2 linked regions of the Coturnix japonica genome follow. The protein of the gene in region 1 purifies or fractionates together with the protein of each later gene. This does not show direct contact. Links are inferred from orthologs where the notes say so. Each region holds a gene or a part of one and is shown on either strand. Other genes may lie near its edges.

Region 1 (10,110 bases):
TAGGAGGGCAATCGTGTGTCATATCGTATGCTGACGGTGCTTCTTCCCCAGGTGCTTCCAGGCAATTTGCTGCCCGACGCCGTGTCCTGGTTTTTCACCAGCGTGCTGAAGGGCTTACAGATCCATGGGCAGCACGATGGCTGCATGGCAGCTCTTGTCCATCTGGCTTTCCAGATCTACGAGGCTTTGGTGAGAAACTGTCAGCGTGCCGCCTTGTCTGGGGGTTGGTGGGAAGCAAATCCCTTGTCTGCTTAGAGGGGCGCAGAGGAGCCAGTGGCCCTCAGGGAGGGCAGCTGCGATGACTGTACTTCTCCTTGCAGCGTCCTCACTACGCTGAGCTGAAGATGGTGATGGAGCAGATCCCAGACATCCAGAGGGACTCGTTGGAGCAGTTTGATTCAAAGCTTCTTAACCCAACGCTGCAGAAAGTGGCAGACAAGCGCCGGAAAGATCATTTCAAACGCCTGATAACGGGTTGCATTGGGGTAGGTGATATCCTGAGGGAAAACAAGCCTGTTTCAAATGATCCCTGTGCCTGCAGAAGCATCGGGGCAGTCAGGCTGCTTTGCCTCCCCCTGTCCACCACCCTTTCCAGCTAAGGAGCTGTCGCAGCAGATTCTGACTATTTCCCCCCTCATCTCACTGAGACACCTTTACACAAAGGTGCCTGTAGGGAACTGGGTAGGGAAACATTTGAACAAATCCATCAAGTGGGTCCTGGGCTTTAGTGAAGATGGAGGCATGAGGGTGCTGATGACTGATGTCTGTCTGTCCTCTGCAGAAGCCACTTGGGGAGCAGTTCCGCAAGGAGGTTCATATCCGGAACCTCCCATCTCTCTTCAAAAAGGTGAAGCCATCACTGGAGACAGATGTGCTGGAGACACATGAGGATGGAGAGGATCTCACTGTGCTCTTTGAACCCTGAGCCTGGGATGCTGCAGCCATCTCCTTCCCTATTTTGTATTTCATCTCTTCTCATAGTAACCACACTAGATTCTCCTTGTCACCACCTCTACGAGCGTTTGTCTCAATAAAGCCCCTTACAGGTCCGGTCCCATCCTCCTCCCTACAATGGGATGGGGTCTGTGGTGGCATCTGATCCAGTCTGTTAAGCTTTCTCTTATTCCTTCCCCTCCCCTACACTGGATGAGCATCTTTAGACCTTTGTCTCTGCAAGGTGGGAGCTGAGCCCATAGACTGTTAGGTAAAACATGGTCATCCTATAGCCTTGGGTCTCCACTTCTTCATCCTTTGGGGTTTAGGATTAGTGCAAGGTATAGTGCAGCTTGTGAAAAGGGGCTACCATCATCTTTCTCCAGGTGCTGGTAGCCAGGCTTTGCAGAGGATCCATCAGGCACTGCTGTCATGCCTATCATGCTTGTCTCTACTGGACTCGTGTTCTAATGGATCCATTCTCTTCCAGGATGCTGGGCTGAGGGCTGCGTGCCAAGGAAGCCTTGCAGTGCTCTAGGATCTCCTTGAGATCAGTCTTCTTAAGGTGCAGCTCCTCTGTGGGAGGCAGGCACCATCACACATATATATACATACATATGTATATATATACGATCATACTTGTTCTACCCATAGCCAAACGAAAGGCTTTGACTCTGTGCTAGCTTTTCTTGGATATCCTTAAGGGGGAGCAGGACAGATGTTTTGTTTCGTTTTGTTTTTACCACGCCCTGATGATGGCCAGTGCAGGGTACACAAAATCTGGACCAATACCTGAAGCACCTGCAAAACAAATGGGATCTCCTCACCCTCTTGCTGTGGAGGCGACAGGAGTTTCACCCAGCCTGGTACTTCTCAGAGGTAATGCAGCGGGGCAGGAGGAGTGGGGGTTATACTGCAGCTTACAGGGAACAGCCAGAACAGAAACAAGGTGTCAGATGAGGTGACTCCGGTTTGCAAAGTTGGCTCTTCTTGACATGACAAATGGTTCATTCAGCATACGCTTATGCTGGCACAGGAGCTGCGAGGCTCAGCTCATTTTGCCATCAAGAAGAACCAATAAATCCTGCGAGGACAGACGGGACTGAAAAGTTTGGGATGGAAGGGGGTTAGAATGCAGAAAAGATGAGTGTGCCTTGGGAATCTACACACCCTCCTGCCCCTGCTGTTCCACCTGCACCCTCTACTTCCCTCCTGGCCTCAGACATTTTGAACCTCTGAGCTGACGTGGCTCCTGGCTCTTAGCAAAGGCTGGGTGTATTTATTGTGTTGTGAGGTTTTTAACATTCTGTGACTTCATGCTAGACACAAGGGGTTTTTTTAAATGGTTTTTAGAGCCTTTTTTTTTTTTGTAGGAATGTTTAAAGCTGTCTCTGAACCAGTTGTGTTACACCTCTGAATGTCAGTAAAGCTATTCCAGTTTCATACCCACGGTGTCATGACTTTGTTTGTATTCAGCCTTCCTCGCTCCAGCTGCCAGAAAGAAAGTGCAGCCAATGAATGCCCCGGTGGCACAGTGGTAGAAGTGCCGCTTGCAACACGGAGGCCCAGGTTCAAATCCCCCCTGTGGATTCTAGAGCACGTATTTAAACCCCACCATCCCTACTACACAAAGAAGCCCAGTACTATAAGACAACCCAGCTACCACACTGAGACATCTTCAAAACAGACATAAACTGACAGTGACTTCAGTTCTCATGGGCCTGCTGCTAAGAGCTTTACTACAGTGCCTTACTGGTCCTCTTCACACACTGCCTGCATTCTAAAACAAGTATTACTTGGCTTCAGCCCTGCTGCCACTTTATTTTTGTATGGTACAGTCTCACAGTTGTTAACTGCACAGAAGCAGGCAGAGGTAAAAGCAAGCTTTTATTTCAGTGCATCTCCTCACTGAGGCTCATCACACACGAAACAAAGAGATGGTCCCAGGGCTCTTAAAAAAATCCATCTCCAAATTCATGCCTAGGGCAGAAGAACCACTCCTGCCGGCCAGAGCAAGAAGCCCAAAACAGCAGCACAGGGTTCTTGGTTGTACAGCTCACTCACTCCATTGGCACAGCATCCAGTTCATTCAGGAAACGCTGACACTTTCCCATCAGTATCTTGATGGCTTCAGTCACCAGCACGTCTGGAGGCAAGATACCTGTCGACTCCACTGAAACTGCACAGAGACAGAAGTCAGCACGGCCATTGCGCTGCTTCAGCCTGCGGCTGGCTCCAGCGTTTGCTCCTCATCTTCCCTTATGCTGCACTTCCAGCAAGCCAGACCTTTGCAGCTGAAAGAAATAAGCCAGCAAGAAGCACAAACACATCCTACCCCAAAGCTGCACCAAACCACTATCTCAGTAGCTCCCCAGAGGAATACAAACATAGGAAGAATAACGATGCCAAGTAGAAGGGAAAGACTGAGACCAAGGTATGCACACTGGCCAGCCCCTGCTTGTTTGTACAAAGCAGAATCGGGCTGGGCACTCTGCTCTGCACAAAACAGGCTACTTACAGATGTAATGATTTCGCACCCTGGCCAGGCGCACCAGGTTTTTCAGACCCTCGTGTCGGAAGACTTCCCTGCTGAACGTGTCCAACCGTGCGTTGGCTACTCTTGCCACCTTCTTTCCTAAAAGGAGAAGACAAAACAAGGTGGGCACCGGCAGCAGATGAGCACCTTGGGGTCACAAAAAGTACTTACCCCTCAAGCAGCAGAGGCAGCAAAGCCACATATAATTAGCACATCCCTAACATGAAACTCCAGCTTGGCAGAATTCATTTCCTCGAACAGTTCTAAGCCAAACACAAAGCCTGTATGTGCTCCTGGGCAGGACACAAGTCCTCCCCGTGCTCAGCTGTTACAAAGAGCAAGCTCGCTACCCAGACACCTAACAGTAGCACAGGGCTCTACAGACAGGCATGCAACACATAAGCATTTCAGGGAGATCTCAGTTCACTGCTAAAAACATTTGTGTGTGACAGCCACTCAGCCACTACAACCAGGCTCAAAACAGCACCAACTGTTGTTGATCAGCAAGACAACATCGCAATGTGTTATTTTCCCAACAAGGTTTGACTACAATCTCTACTGTCTCTATTCAGTCACTGCTAAGACTTGTTAGGAACGAGGCACTTTACAGCTGGAAAGAAAGTACCCTTGACGTTCTGGATCTCAATGACTCCAGGGGAAAAGCACTTCTGTAACGTCTCGGCTGCCTCATCCTCGATAGGCTGCAGGAGAGTGATGTCAGGAAGCAGTCGATAACTAGCTGTGGCCACAGGAGAAAACTTGGCATGATCTTTACCTGCACAAAGAGTTCAGAATTAAGGATGAGGACAGGCCTTGGGGTCAAGCTAGTTCTCCAGTGTTTCCCATCACACAGCTGTGCTCGAGTCCAAGCACCAGCACACCCACTCCCCAGCTCAGACCCAGCACTCACCTACACCCTTGACGCAGTGCATGAGCACATCTATTTCCTGCCCAGGTCTCAACAGTGCTATAAGGATGTCGTCGTGGACAGGTCGGAAGTCAGCATCCGGAAAGAGGTCTGTCTGATTCCCCAAGGGAACCCATGTCATGTGCTTACTGTACACTGCCAAAAGAAACCACGAGCATCAGCCAGCTGCTGCCTCAGAAAACAGGTTGCTGACCTGAATAGGAGATGGCACAAGCAAGCTATGTATACTGTGAGGAAATGAGCTGTCTCTGCTCACAAGGCAAAACACCAAGAGAGAGAAAGAAGAAAATGAACAAGAGAAAAAGCAGAAAGCTGCACCTACTTTTAGGGCAGGCACAAGGAGCTCTCACCTTTGTGATTGAAATACAGCTCGTTTGGGTCAGACGATTCCTTGGCTGCCTGAGGATTCCGGCTGCATTTTATTTTCAGCTGGAACTGCAGAGTATCAATTTCCGTCCCCTCTTCATCTCCTGGAAATGGCAAAACAGTATCTTTATGGAAGTGAATTCTGCTTTGTTGAAGTGTATCCAGGGGAGGGACACATGAATGACCCAGTGATGGAACATCTCTCCTACGAGGATGGGTTGAGAGCTGGGGCTGCTCAGCCTAGAGAAGAGAAAGCTGCAGGGAGACCTGGAAGCGGCCTTTCTGCACCTAGGAAGAGCATGCAAGAAAGAAAGGGACAGACTCTACAGCAGGGTCTGCTGTGATAGGAGAAGGGGAAACGGTTTGAGGCTTAAAGAGGGTAGATTTACTTTAGAGATAAAGAAAAAGTCTATTACTGAGTGAGAGTGGTGAAAATGAGGGTGGTGAGGCACTGGAACAGGCTGCCCAGAGATGCGGCTGATGCCCTGTCCTTGCAGACTTACAAGGCCAGGCTGGGCAGGACTCTGAGCACCTGGTCAGATGTAGGAGTCCCTGTATGTTGTGGGATCGTTGGACCTGATGGCCTTCATGATCCTACGGTGTGACCCCAGCTCCTGGTTATGGGCTCCACCCTCCCCACCGCTGTTCGACCCGAGCCCCTCACCTTGATTCCTGTACTCAAAGAGCCGCGGGTCGGCCCGGATGGGGATAAGGCCCAGTCGGTGCGCCAGGATCTCGTCCTGCACGATGGACGTGTTGTTGTACACAAACACCTTTTCCACAGCCATGGTCGGCACCTCGGGGGGACGACAGAGCGAGGCGATAAGCCGCCAAGCAGGGCACCGCACGGGGACCATCCACTCGTCATGTCTCCCAGCCCCGCGGTACCTCAGCGAGCAGGATGCGGCGGAACGCGTTGGCGATGGCCGCGTCGATGCCCACCATGTCGAACTCGAGCACGCCGTCCTCCTCCCGCACCACGTCCACGCGGAACCCCTGCTCGGGAACCGCGCCGCGTCACGACGGAGCCGAACAAGGGGCCCCGCAGCAGCAGCTCCATCAGCTCCATCATCTCCATCAGCTCCCACTCACCTCCTCGAAGCGCCGCTGGTCCCACGCGTCGTCGTACCCGGGGTAGTTGCCTGGGAAGTCAGTGGTGTGGACCTGCGGGGGGCGCAGCCCGTGAGGCAGCGGGGGGTGATGCGGGAGCCGCCCCGCGTCCCGCCGCCCCACGCACGTTGCGGACGCCGAACTCGCCCAGCACCACGCGCTCCCGCATCTCGTCCGTGCCGCGCCGGGCCGCCATCGCCGACGGAAGGACGCGCCGCCGCCCCGCCCCGCCGCACGTAAGGCGGCCATGCGGAACTGACGGCTCTCGCGAGACACGGAGCGGCCGGACCGTCACATCCGCGTTGCCGTCCCCCGTTACCGGCGCTATGGCCGCGGCGGGCGGCAGGAGCGGCACCGCCGAGTGGGGCGGCTTTGAGGACAACGTGCAGGTGGGGCCGGCCCGCGGGGGGGGGGACAGAGGGGCCCGAGCGGGCGCTGACGATCCGTGCATCGGAGCAGGGCGGCGGCTCGGCCGTCATCGACATGGAGAACATGGACGACACGTCGGGCTCCAGCTTCGAGGACATGGGGGAGATGCACCAGCGCATGAAGGAGGAGGAGGACGAGGAGGCGGAGGGCGAGGCGGGGGCCGGCGGGGAAGAGGACGGCGAGTTCCTGGGCATGAAGGGGCTGCAGGGGCAGCTGGGCCGGCAGGTGGCCGACCAGGTGAGTGGGCTCACGAGCCGCCAACAGCCCCGCCGGCCCCGGCCCCGCCGCTGCACGTACCGTTCTGTCCGCAGATGTGGCAGGTGGGGAAGCGACAGGCGTCCAAAGCGTTCAGCCTCTACGCCAACATCGACATCCTGCGGCCATACTTCGACGTGGAGCCCGTCCAAGTGCGCACCAGGTGGGCAGGGCAGCGGGTGCACGGGATCTGTTGCTTCTTAATGACTGTCCTGATGTCGTTCCCCGCTGTGCCGTAATGCAGGTTGCTGGAGTCCATGGTGCCCGTCAAGATGATCAGTTTCCCACAGGTGAGTTCTCTCTCACTGAACCAGACCCCACAGCCTGAGTGACTGTTCCACAGAGACCCCTCAGATGTAATTAGCCTGTTATTAAGGATCCAAGTCTGTTAGATGTTCACCTCCCTCAAAGTATCAGTAAACCCTTTCCTATGGTTGTTCCAAACCCCATTCTCATAGAATTGTAATCATAGAACATCCTGAGTTGGAAGGGACTCATAAGGCTCACCTGGCTCCATACAGCACCACCCATAAATCAGACCATATAGCTGAGATCATTGTCCGGATGCTTCTTCAACTCCAGCCAGCTCACTGCTGTGACCGCTGCCCTGCACAGCCTGTGCCAGCGCTGCCTTTACCTTCCTGCTACCCTTAACGCTGGTACAGTTGTAGAACTCTAGACCTCACTTTGCCCATTTCTGCATCCTGTTGAACACCACTCTGACTCATCACAGTCTGTTCTGTGTGGCTTCTGTCAGCAGTGGCCTTGCAGATGCTCCTCGGGTGATAAAAGTCTCCAAGATGCTCGTTATGTCTCTCAGGGTGGAGAGCCTGGAAGACAGGAGCACTAACTAAGCCTCATCTCTCTCTTTACATGTAGAAGATTGCAGGTGAGCTTTACGGACCCCTCATGCTGGTCTTCACGCTGGTGGCCATCCTGTTGCATGGGATGAAGACCTCGGACACTATCATTGTATGGCGAGTCTCAGTGATTCATTTGTGCTTTGACCGGGTTTGGGATTGCTATAATGACACTGGAAAGGGAGAGGAAACCTCTTCTGTATCACAAGAGCTGAAAAGCAGATTTGATCTGAGGAAGATCCTTTTGGTTTTGGAGAGGGGAGGAAAGTTGCATCAGAAAGTCCCAATGCTCTGTAGCTGGGAGAGATGGGGTGTAGGTCGTGGGGCAACCTGCCTGCTGTTAAGCCAGCTGTTTGTATACATGTATGAAAGGCTCTGGGTGCTCTGCAGTGAAACTCAGGTGCTGGCAGGCCCTTGCTCTGAGTTCTCTCTGTCCTGCTGCTGTCTCCACAGAGGGAAGGCACACTGATGGGCACAGCCATTGGCACCTGCTTTGGTTACTGGTTGGGAGTCTCCTCTTTCATCTATTTCCTGGCATATCTGTGCAATGCCCAAATCACGATGGTGCAGATGCTGTCGCTGTTGGTATGTACGGATGGGGCTGCCCCAGGATGGATGCTGGCTGCGTGGTGTTCCAGAGGGGAGGGTAACCTGTGAGCTCTTCCCAGAGAGCTGGAAACATCTTTGTAAATGAGTGGTCCCAGATGACCATAACCTTGTTGCACAGGGACAACTTGGAATCCGGGATGATCTTTGGACCTGATCTGTCCCAGACACAGAGATGGCACAGAGCAGCTGTTAGTGCTTGCAAGTTTCCTCTTGGGGAGATTCTCATTTTTCTGGGATCAGAGGCTTTTTTCCTTGCATTTCCTAGATTGATGCAATCTCCAACAGTCCTGTGAATCCTTCTGACAGATGAGCTGGGTGTGAGCTCCTGTTAAATCTGTTGTGCTGGTTGACATTCTAGCACGGAGTGTGCAGTCTGCAAAGTAGTGCCTTGCTGAAACATTGCAAGCATTGGCTGTTTGTTGCTCAACAACCTTTTGTGTGCAAGTGACAACTGTAACATGGATGTGTTTGTTTTGCCAGGGCTATGGCCTTTTTGGACACTGCATCACTCTGCTTGTCACCTATAATATCCACTTCCATTCCCTCTTCTATGTTTTCTGGTTAGTCGTTGGTGGACTCTCTACACTGCGAATGGTAAGTGACTGGCAGCCCAGAGGGAAGTGTTTCTTGCTTTCTGTTCCTTGGGCCAGTCAAGTGATTCCACAGCTGGGTAGGGTGCTTAAAGAAAGCCTGATGCTTCTGGGCCATTTGGCTATTAGTGTGTGGCCTGGCTTACTGTCCTCACCCATTCTAACAGCTGCAGGAAGCCTGCTGTCTTATGTCCCCCGCTGCTCCAGAGATACTTGCTGAGCCCCCTTAACACTGAGTGAAACTGGGCAAGATTCATCTACCCAAAACAGTCAGATTTCCTAGTGCCAACTGTGAGGAAGGCTCTGAGCAGTGTTCCCACTGGCTCTCTGCTTAGCCCATCCTCCTGTGTACTCCTGACTGCAGTGCCAGAGGCTGATATTGCAGCTCTCCCATCCCTTAAATCTCCACTTCTCTCCTAGGTTGCTGTGCTGGTGTCACGCACGGTGGGGCACACCCAGCGGCTCATCCTGTGTGGAACTCTTGCTGCTCTGCATATGCTTTTCCTCCTCTATCTGCACTTTGCTTATCACAAGGTGGTAGAAGGTAAGCAAGGGAAACATGATGGCAGTACCTCTTTGATGTGGGGCAGGAGGAGGTGGTGCTTCTTCCTTTCTCAGAGAGAAAGGACAGGCAGTTTGGAACTGACCTAAGGGCATCTGGGCCAGTTCCAGGCCCAAGCGTGACTGCACTACCATAGTTAGCAGAAGGTGTCAAAGCAGGTCAGCATGTTGATGTGGGGTAGTCTCTGTATGCAGTTCTCGTACTTAAGACAAGCTGCAAGCAGGCTTTCCCCACAAGTCAAGCGTTGAAGCAGTGACTGCTTCTCTTATGCAGTTATCCAGTCCCTTCCTGATCCTTGCTAAAATCAGGCTGCTTTACTCTGATCAGGAAACGTATCATGAAAGTCCTTCCTTCTTTACCTAACACCTTTATTATCTTAAGTTGTACAACACAGACAGCAAAAGCTGCATCCTCTGCAGTCAGTACTTTTTACCAGGTTATACAGATTTGGGTGGTCTTTGTGTTTTGTTGATTTTCTCCTAACAAATTATTAGATTGAAACCTGCATAATTTTGGCACAGCATCACAAGTCCTCTTGGAGCTAAACACTGTTCTTTCCTGGCTCCCTATTCATGGCCAACGTTCTCAGCCCTAATATGCAACTTCTCAGCAAATGAAATATGTGAGAATATACTCCAAGCAATTTTCTCCAAGGATCTCCGTGACTGATGATCAGTCTTGAGAGGGTAATTGACAGGAACTGGAGAACACTTCCATCAGCATCTGCATTTCCTGCCAAATATGGTCTGTTTGCAGTGCAGTGATAAAAATTCCATATTGCACTTCCAACTGTAATTCTGATATAAGCCTTGCAGGTGTATCTCAAGGTGAAAGCAAACAGTTGCTCTAAGAGGAGGGTATGTGCTGGAGTGAAGCGGGGAAATGACCTGCCAGGCTGCCTTGGCAGAGGAGAGCCCCTAGCAGCGTCTTTC
Region 2 (10,078 bases), about 14 Mb from region 1:
CGGGTGGGATAGGAGAGCCGCATTCCTGGCAGAAGTGAGCCAAGGGGTCAGACAGGCGGGGTGCGGAGCAGTACGAACATCTGGAAACAACAGCAAGCTGGCTCAACTCGTTTTGGCAATGTACTGGTGCATAACAAGGAAAAATCTGGAATCATCTGTGACTGGACTTAGACCGCCGATGTCTAAATTGTGGTTCCTAGTCTACAGTGGCTCACCAGGCCATTCCCCAGCGTCCTATGCAGGAGACTGAACAAGGAAGAGCTTGGCAAGGTGGAAGCTCCCTGGCTGCTGCTACAAAGTTTCATGATTTTTACTCACCATGTAAGGTCTACTGAGAGGTGAGCTCTGTCACCTACTGTATCTCTTTTGCTTTCTTTATTTCTAGCAGAGTCTCACAGCATTATCAACTCGCTTGTTGGAAGTAACTGCTCTGTTTCTTTCTACAGAACAAAGATGTCAGTAGCAGTCATTTACCTGAGGAAATCTCTCTCCCTCTGGATCCTTGCCACCTGTGTGCTTGTTAAGCTCTTCCGGCTGGTCACTGCAGAACTGGCAAACTGAAATGAAGGTAATACTTTTGCATTAATTACTGTTTGCCAAATGCATACAAGATGCACATACATGCATCGAGCTAATTCAAATAAAGACATGTTATTTGAGACAAAGTGCATAGAAATGTATTGCTTTAAGGAATATCTAATACATCTCCCATTAGCTGCAGTAGTGACCGAGAGATTCTGCAATTCAAAATAATTGTCTTATCAAAGGCAGCATGATTAAATGGTAGGTCTAAATGTTTGTTAATTGCAGTTTCTGTAATGTGTTAGAAAAGGATTTCTAACAATGCAGGTATTGGTAATTTTTCGTACCTGGTTTTGTCTTTACTTTTTAAGCATGTCTTTACCCATAACCTTAAATCAGTCCTGTATAGTACAGCCAAAGGCAGTGGTTTCTGAGAGATTATATAAAAATGACGACAGAGTTTCACATCTTTCTCTTTTCTGGACAGACTTGTACAGTTTTCCTCCATGCCCCTTTCCTTGCCTGTGAGGACTCCATTGGTAGTACTGAGGATTCCTCTCCGTACCCTGCTGTTCCCAAAGGGCTGGTCAGGAGCTGTGGTCCTTGCAGGGACTTGTGATCAGTCTTTCTTTCTGTTTCTAAAACCAAAAATGTGTTATTCTCTATATTCTAATGAATTTGCAGTCCCATCAGTTTAATGTCATTTTCTAGCACAAATGCAGATGCAGACTGGGCCTTGTTATGTTGCTTAGAAATGAATTATTTTGTTGTTGTTGTTCTTAATAAGCAGGCTGGTAAGTATAGAAGGCAATTTTTGTTCCCTGCTTGCAGTGCTGAGAAATGGAAATTGGACTCCTCAGAAGATGTTTTGACTTCTGAGATGTTTTTTAGATTCCCCTGTATTTTAATGATGACATAAGATGAAAACTTTGCACTGTATTCTCAGCTAACAAAAAAACCCAAAGTCTGTTCTGACTTCCTGCAGTAATACCATACCTTGAACATCCCGGGGTGTTTCAGTCCAGGCAGGCTTGATTTCCACACCCATTCCATTTTGCCTTGGTTTTGTAGTAAATGTTCCATCTTCCTTCTCCTAAGAAGTGATTTCATTTGGATTACTTAGGATTGCTTGTTTTTGCTCTAATCCTTCCTATAGTTATAGGAAGCTATAGTTATTTGTTACGATTTTAAAGGCATATCATTGAGGTATTTCTTTTCATTGTAAGCATTTGAAAAGCTTGGAGGATAAATGTATTTTAAATATATTTGACCTGAATTGATCATGACAGAGCAGTGAGTAAAGAAAGAAGACGTGTTCCCTTAAAATTTCACTTTATAAAAAGGGCCAAGGCTGCAAAGATGAGCAACAGGGAAAATAAAATACATAAAAAATGCAGGCAGTCAAGGTTTAATCTCTAAGCACTATCATACACACAACCTTCTGTATTCAGACAAGAGATTGCAACTGCTACAACTTGCCTGTGTTGTGACATCTTTTAGGAACTTCTTGTCATCATCTTCCATAGAGAAGAGGCCGTTTGGTTGCTTGTACTCTACTAGAAACACCTTTGTCACAACAGCACTCTCCCTGCAGTCCCTGGAAGTCAATGATCACAAAGTTCTGAACATGCCATAAAACCACATGCAATGAAAAGGAAACCACGGGGGAACACGGTTGATCGTCTGGAACATCTCTTCCAAGTTTGCAAGTCATTACTTCAGTGAGTAAGCACAGTCCTGGGAAATACTCTCAAAAACCTCTGCTTTGTTTTGTTATTATGTTTAAGTTAGTGTGCACACTAAGAAGTTAACAGTAAAACATACGGATGGATACTTTAATTCTTCAACATCTTTTACCTGTGAAACTAACTCCTGATGCTGCTGTGTCTGCTTTCTGGAGTAATTAGTTTGCCAGCATTGCAGGCAACAAAGGGCAGTCAAGCAGCAGACAGCACACTGTCAATTTGATATATCAACTGTCCTTCTCTTATCTACCTTCTCTACCTTCTCACTTGCTAAATTACAGCAGTAACATTAAAATGCCACAAATGTACAAGCTATTAATTAAGAATTTGCTTTCATTCCAGAGCATCAATTTGGTGCACCTGGAAATGTCTTAATAAAACACTGGAAAGAACTGTTAATTCAGATAGTGATATATGAAAATACCTTCAGACCTAGGGTTTGCATGTCCTGCACAGGGAATATAATGTTGTCATATTCCAATGCAGATACAAGCAAAGGCTACATGCAGGTGCTAATAGTGGGGAACAGATTCCCAGCTGGACTGGGGATTCCTTGTGTGTTCTTCTAACCATGAAGTTAAGATGTCCATTCTAAAACAGAACTAAGTTAAAGCAGGATACTTACTTGGTAACTGCAAGAGCCTTGACTGTTATTTTCCCGACTGGTAACGTGATAGGACTCTTATACTTAAAAGTGTTACGCTCTCCATAGCCAGGCTTCCTAAAAAGTTCTGGTTTACTTCCATCTAAAGTGTAATAAATAGAGACCTCAGGTGTATCTGAACAACACAGAGAAAGTAATTAGCCAAACTGTGCAGGAGCTGGAAAAAAACACAAATATCTGTACAACCCTGCAGATACTCAGCACTGTGTGAGTACTTGACTTTCTCACATAAGCACAATGAAGCAATTGCATAAAAGTTCAGAACCAAAACCGTTTCTCCCATGAAGAACTGACACTGAATGGCTGCGATGTCACGATTAGCAATATTTCTCTTCATAAAGTCACCGCACGGTGGTTTTGCAGGAAAACACTGTTCTACCAACAGATAAACCATCTCCTCTGATGGCAGGTGGAGTTCCTGAGGCCAGTTACCTGCAGCCAACACGGAGGCTGGAAGGCTCAAACGCTTTGAGAGGAGGTTTGACAGAGGCAAAGCCGCAGCCCGTACCTGACTTGATTTCCACCCGGGTGCCGCTGTCGATGCGGTGCTTGGCCTGCCCTGGAACAGGGACCCGGAGCGGAATGAGCTGCGGCACAGACACGGAGCCCGCCGCCATCCTGCTCTGCGATCCCTGAAACACAACAACAACAGCAACCACAACAACAACCACAACCACCACAAAGCAGGCGGTGTCGACAAAGCCCACGCGTCCCGTTACTCGGCAACCGGCACCGGCGCGTACAAATAACGTCATCTCAACGTGCCGCTCAGTAACCGATCCCCTCCGCTCCTGGTGACGGCATCTCCCCGCGCAGCCCGGCCCGCCGCCATGGCGGAGGTGAAGGTGAAGCCGGAGGTGCCCGACCCCGTGGACATAGAGAGCAGGTGCGTTGGGACGGGCCCTGGCCCGAAATCATCGGGAGAGGCTTCGTGGTGCTGGGGAGGCGGGGAGCGGTGGGTCCTGGTGGGTCCTGGTGCGTTGATGTTGAGAGCAGCCCAAAAGTGAAGTGGAGCAGCAGCGCTGTCAGAAAGAGCTGAGAAGTGGTTCTTCCTGAGCTGCTCTTTCCTTTCCGTCCCTGCTCTGATGGCCTTTCAGGTGGCTGGTTTTGTGCACAACGGCCTTTGGTTCATAAACCGCCTCATTCCTCCCCCAGGATCATTGAGCTGTGCCAGCAGTTCCCTCACGGCATCACAGACCAGGTGATCCAGAATGACATGCCGCACATGGAGGCCCAGCAGCGAGCCATGGCCATCAACAGGCTGCTCTCCATGGTACGACGTTCCACACCCCTTCGAGCTGCTTCATCCTGAGGCTCTTGATGTCAATGGGCTGTTGTCAATGGCTGCGTGGTGGCACCCAGCTGGGCAGGGCTGGGAAGTTCATCTTGGATTTAGTGTCATTTGCCAGAACTGGCAGTTTTTGCAGCTTAATTGTGGTTCTCACTTGTGACCACCACAACCACTTATAACGGTCACCATCATCTATTAAAACATACCTCAAAATGTAGTTTCCATTCTGTAAGATAAAGTTAACACCTGTTGTGTGAGTGAGCAGCCTCCATGAGGCATCCTCAAACTTGGCTGACACTTTTCCAGTTATCTACAGAACTGAGAACATAACCAACAAAATAAGAGCCCTCATCTCTTCCACTTGTGGAATTGTTCAGTGTTCCTGTCCAGCAGAGCTCTCACTTGATATCTGGATGCTCATATGAATGAGCACTTTGGTGGGAAGTATACAAGAGCTCCATGTCCCAAGGTGAACGTTAGGAGAAACAACGGGAAGTGCACCAGTGTTGTGGGGAGAGGCTGGAGCTGTGTTTGTTATTTCTGACAGCTAATGATAAATGCATGGTCAGAGGGGAAGAATAATATCCTCAGGGTTATTGTTGTGTCTAGCAGTTAGAAATGTTGTTTTTCCCTTTTCTGTATTCAGCTGATACAAAGTACATTTATTTTCTTTACAAGTTAAGGAGATTTTCTTGCCGTGTTCTGAAAAGAAGCTGTTAGAAGGGAAGTTAATGTGCTGTGCCTGTTTCCCACAGGGGCAACTGGACCTTCTCAGGAGCAGCACAGGTCTCCTGTATAGAATCAAAGAGTCTCAAAATGCAAGGTGAGCCTTGTGCTTACGCAATCAATATCTGAATGCGGTTCTGCAGCTGATGTGCGGCGTTGCTGAGAACACAGCAAGGAATTTAACATGGGCTCTGTAACAAAGATATTACAGAATTTACTTGCTTGATACGCTTAACCCCCCTGAGCCAATTCTGTCAACTGTTGTATGATTCCTGCTGCACAGACTCTCCCATGGGGCTCCAGCTGTAGCTTACTAGTGGAATTCTTCATCTGGCAAAGTGATCTCTATGAGCAGATGCGAATGCTCAGATGAAAGCCAGCTGAAGCTTGACCACACCATCTATAAGTATCGTTCTGTGGTCTTTTCCAGCACTTACAGCAGTTCCAGAAGGCCGCTTGATATGTTGTTTGTGCTCTTTTATTTGATTTATTAAAACATGCCTTCAATAAAGTCGTGTTTTGCGATGTCTGTGTGGAGCTGAGTAGGAGATGCCTGGATTTACTTCTAGAAAGAAACGTCCTTCAAAATTATCTTCCATGCAGGCATCTCAACTTCTCTTTCCACTGCATTAGAAAAAAACCTTCTAAGCTGAGGCTTTCTGAGACCAGTGAGAAGGCACGTTGTAGAGCCTCTGCTGTCCCCTTGTTGCGACAGTTGGTCCTGAATTATGTGCTGAGTGTTTGACCTTATGCAGTTGTGTTAATATGTGACTCCAAACTTCTCTTTGTTAAGAGAAGTTGAGTGTTTCCTGCTTACCCTCATTTTTAATGACTAATATTATTTTTTTTTTCAACTGTGCTGTTTTCTCTTTACTGTGGCTTTTCACTGGCAATCGCAGAATGATCCACAGAGGTTTGGTGTCATGTATTTTATTTGCCACTGGCTGGTTTATTGTGTGGGGCTTCTTTTTCCCTTTGTGTGTTGTGGTTTCTGTTCATAGTATTTGTTTTTGGTTTAAAATAAATCCACCCTCTTTCAAACTTCAAACTTACCCCAAAAAATCCCGTTGTCTCTTCTACTCCACAGTAAAATGAAAGGCTCTGACAATCAAGAGAAGCTGGTTTACCAAATCATAGAAGATGCAGGCAACAAAGGTAGTTTAAATAAATTATAATGGGGAATGGTAATAGCTTTGTTTGTGGAACTTTTCCTGTCCAAACGTTTAAATTCTTGTCCAGGCAATGCAGATATCAGATATAGAGCACGCCTAAGTCTGTAGCTAATGTTCCACGTGCCACTTATTAAAAACAGAGGAAGACATATTTCTCTATTAAAATAACAAATTATCTGGTCTGACCTTTTGGGACCTCTTTCAAAATATGAAGTTTCAGAATATGAATTATGGCTTATTGATGGGACTGTGAAACTGGGGAATCTATACAAAATACTCATCACTTTAAAAACAAAATTCTGTGTCTCCTGGATCTCCTGTGAGGCCAAATGTTGTGTACATGTAAGAGCTCCCAGAGATACAGATGGTGACTGTGCTGTGAGGTTTTTCTTCTGCTTTGTCAGTTGATTTTTATTTCATCCTCTTTTTCCCATTCCCTCCCTTTTGCTGAGGGTGGTAGGATTGGAGATGCAGCCTTTGGCTGGCAGGCAACATTATGACTTTTGGCTTGTTAATCCTTACAGAAACAAATACCTGGTTCTCCTAATTAATTCTGTTCATTTCTGTGCTTCTTTAACAGGTATTTGGAGCAGGGACATCAGATACAAAAGTAATTTGCCTTTAACGGAGATCAACAAGATATTGAAAAACTTGGAAAGCAAGAAACTAATTAAAGCAGTGAAATCTGTGGCAGTGAGTAATTTTTGACTTGTTGCTTTTTAACATTTCCAAATGTTTGCTACATGCTGTACATGTTTGAACGTGGAACAGGGAGCAGAGAAACCTTGTTCTGCCTCCAGCTTTGTCACTGCATGTGGACCAACATTTTACTCTTAACATTTACAATGTATGTTTGAGCTGTACCAGATCCAAGAGGCTGTCATGTTTGATAAGTAATAAACATACTATAGCAAACAAATTAATAATATAAGTAATAAATACACCGCCATTAATATACTGTTCTATTACCATTCATACTGCTGTTATATCTTACGTACAAATAGTCCACATGCGAGAGTAGGGCTTATTTTTTTCAGTACTTTTGTTATTCTGTTGTAATGCTTATGCAGCATCCTGCTCTGCCTTACCTGCTTCATTACAAATCATTGGCATGTGCATATTATTTGGGCACTCTCCTGGTTTCTAGCTCAGGGCTTGTTGCATACTAGCAATGTGTGTCCATCTTATCTAGGAGCTGTACACATCAATCCAGCTGACTCAAGTTATCATTACTGTGCCTTAGATTTTACCTTCATCTATTCAGAGCCATGTACTTTCTCTACCAGGCATCCAAGAAGAAGGTGTATATGCTGTATAACCTGCAGCCTGACCGATCGGTGACTGGTGGGGCCTGGTACAGTGACCAGGACTTTGAGTCTGAATTTGTGGAGGTGTTAAATCAGCAGTGTTTTAAATTTCTACAGAGTAAGGTAAGTGCCACTACTAAACTGATCCTTCATTTGTATTTGCAAATAAATCTTTTATTTCTAAAGCCAATGACAGACAAGGCTTCAGTTTTCCATGGTACTTCCTGTGAGTGTTACACTTTTTTGTAACCTTTGCAGTGAGTGGATCCTTCCTTCTCCAAACTGCAGTGACATCTCAGAAATGGTTTACAAAACAGCACTTTGCACTCTGCCCTAAACTGAGCTGTGAAGAAAGCTCTGTCACTGAGTGCTGACTGCAACTTGTCTTTGTGGTTTTCTTCCTCAGGCAGAAGCGGCTCGAGAGAGCAAACAGAACCCTGTGATACAGAGGAACAGCTCATTTGCCTCCTCCCATGAGGTGTGGAAATACATCTGTGAGCTGGGTATCAGTAAGGTCAGCATCAATTCATCTTTCTGCTCAGAATTGTCAGTACATGATTAGCTGCAGGAGTTGGGTCGTGCAAGTTTGGTGAGTGCTCTAGTTCCCTGCAGTTACTGCAGTGGAGGTGGACTTTGTTGCTTTGTTGCTTTTTGAGGATTGCCAGTGGTGCTGTATGGGATTCCAGGATAGTCTGTATGCGTGGGCCATTGTTGGTCACTACCAACAGGCTTCAGTACTCTTGTCCTTTTCTTCCACAACTGTTTTGTTGTAGGACAAGAAATATATCGTGCTGAGATAATATAGACACTTGAGGTGCATAGGAAAATTCTTTTGCGCTAGTAAAGGTTAATGTAGTCCAAGAAAAAGTCCAAGAAGTCTTGGGACTTTTCTTTTTGTATCTACACAACCCTATCAAGTGCCCAGTTAAGAGCTGTACCTGTAATGTGGGACAAGTTAGAAGGGCTCCTGGAAATGTCTGTTACTCGTGGGGGTTTGCTCTTGTTTCCTCATGTACTTAGTGGCAAACGTCTTTCCTATATTTATTTTACAAATTGTTCCTTAGGTAGAATTGTCAATGGAAGACATTGAAACCATTTTAAATACACTAATATACGATGGAAAAGTGGAGATGACTATTATTGCTGCAAAGGAAGGGACGGTCGGCAGTGTGGATGGACAGATGAAGTTGTACAGAGCTGTCAGTCCTCTCATACAACCCACTGGATTAGTCAGGACACCCTGTGGACTCTGTCCAGTAAGTAACAAATTCTTTACATGAATAGGTGGTACATGCACATTTTGGATGCAGTCCTTCAAATGGTCAACTGGTGCAAATGAAGGTTATGTCTGTGAGTGATTCTTGTGGGTTTCTAAGCCAAGTGTGCTCATGATGCCCATGAACATTATGTTGCATCATTTATTACAGCGGGTTCTGTTTTGCTTTGTTGTGCTCACGTTGCTCTTACTCCAAACTGGCACTGAACTTCCTCGACTTTGTTCTCAGCTAGACTACTGTTTTTCTACTTAGAAAGGAAAAGGAAACATGAGGCTCTGCTACTTCTAGTTAAGTCATGCTCGCTGCGTACAGTTACACAGGTCTGACACAGGTCTTTCTTTCTTCCCTAGGTTTTTGATGATTGCCATGAAGGTGGTGAGATTTCTCCATCTAACTGTATTTATATGACAGAATGGCTGGAGTTTTAAGGTGAAAGAAAACTGTAAACTCGATTCGTTCTTCACAGCTAAGATGACAAAGCAGCTTCTGGTTGTGAGCTACTTCAAGATGTGAAGTTCCTCTGGCTTTTTTCTTTTTAAGTAAACATAAAGCTGCAGCACATCAGCTGTGTGAGCAGTCCTGTAAGTGGACTGAAAATCAAACAAGCATTGAAGATCAAGGCTGAACGTAGTTCCCATCTTGTACAAAATGTAAGTGCCTGACTTGAGAAGCACAACAGAACAGCTGTGTGGTGAGGCATTGCATTCAAGGATTGTGTTGAATACTCAACAGACGCTTACTTCGAAGGAAAATAAGTCATCAGCTGATCAGAAGAACTTGCTAAGAAGCATTGTCAAGAATGAGATCCTAAACTTTGCTTTCAGACTTAGAGTGCTGGTGGGAGCTTAAGACCTAAAGCTGACACTTTCTTCCCTATGTAAAATAGGAATTGATGATTCTTTACCATCGTTCTTACCTGCTATGATCTATGATTAAAACTGTATTTGATTTTTTTTCATATCTATTTTGGTGCTTCATTTACTCCACTGCTGTCAGAGTCTGGTGATGTTTCTGTTGCATTTTCTGTTGGACAGCTACTGTGATCTGATTATCTGATCTGTGCTTCTGTGTTCTGGCAGCTGCATCATGCACATCAGTGTCAGCTGAAATTCAGAATGTAGGTATTCTGTGAAGATGTGTTTTCCAAACGAGAAACAGCTCTTCTGTCCTGGTTATACAGGTACAGTGAAAATTTGTGTAGGCTGTTTCGGTGCCCTGAGGATTACAAAAAGCACCAGAGTTAGCTGTTTGTACATAAATACGGATTGTGATTGAAGGCATGATACTGGCATACCATCAAAAAGCACGCTCTTATCTTCCTGTCACATAGAGCAGATTTCTTAGAATCACAGAATCATAGAATCACAAAGCTGG

What was found. Proteins that work in one complex are often made in the same cells at the same time.
Region 2: the proteins of POLR1C (region 1) and POLR3F purify together in Homo sapiens (affinity purification with mass spectrometry; 4 studies listed by BioGRID and IntAct, counting the BioPlex papers as one, with this or other methods). This does not show direct contact. The link is inferred for Coturnix japonica from reciprocal best matches to the Homo sapiens genes POLR1C and POLR3F.

What each region holds. Positions count from the first base shown.
Region 1 is NC_029518.1:27,795,472-27,805,581, forward strand, and holds POLR1C (DNA-directed RNA polymerases I and III subunit RPAC1), read right to left. Parts: upstream 6,113-10,110; 5' UTR 6,070-6,112; coding exon 6,001-6,069; intron 5,928-6,000; coding exon 5,856-5,927; intron 5,760-5,855; coding exon 5,652-5,759; intron 5,561-5,651; coding exon 5,428-5,560; intron 4,868-5,427; coding exon 4,748-4,867; intron 4,533-4,747; coding exon 4,380-4,532; intron 4,245-4,379; coding exon 4,095-4,244; intron 3,569-4,094; coding exon 3,452-3,568; intron 3,228-3,451; coding exon of another isoform or gene 3,193-3,227; exon of another isoform or gene 3,113-3,192; coding exon 2,994-3,112; 3' UTR 2,804-2,993; downstream 1-2,803. Other genes in the region: XPO5 (exportin-5), read left to right, coding at 52-189, 321-485, 782-925; protein YIPF3, read left to right, coding at 6,200-6,262, 6,333-6,539, 6,614-6,720, 6,802-6,847, 7,437-7,529, 7,871-8,002, 8,507-8,620, 9,037-9,160. UniProt on the Homo sapiens protein: DNA-dependent RNA polymerase catalyzes the transcription of DNA into RNA using the four ribonucleoside triphosphates as substrates.
Region 2 is NC_029518.1:13,399,269-13,409,346, reverse strand, and holds POLR3F (DNA-directed RNA polymerase III subunit RPC6), read left to right. Parts: upstream 1-3,664; 5' UTR 3,665-3,761; coding exon 3,762-3,817; intron 3,818-4,086; coding exon 4,087-4,204; intron 4,205-4,977; coding exon 4,978-5,045; intron 5,046-6,035; coding exon 6,036-6,103; intron 6,104-6,700; coding exon 6,701-6,813; intron 6,814-7,406; coding exon 7,407-7,550; intron 7,551-7,833; coding exon 7,834-7,941; intron 7,942-8,491; coding exon 8,492-8,683; intron 8,684-9,054; coding exon 9,055-9,132; 3' UTR 9,133-9,664; downstream 9,665-10,078. UniProt on the Homo sapiens protein: DNA-dependent RNA polymerase catalyzes the transcription of DNA into RNA using the four ribonucleoside triphosphates as substrates.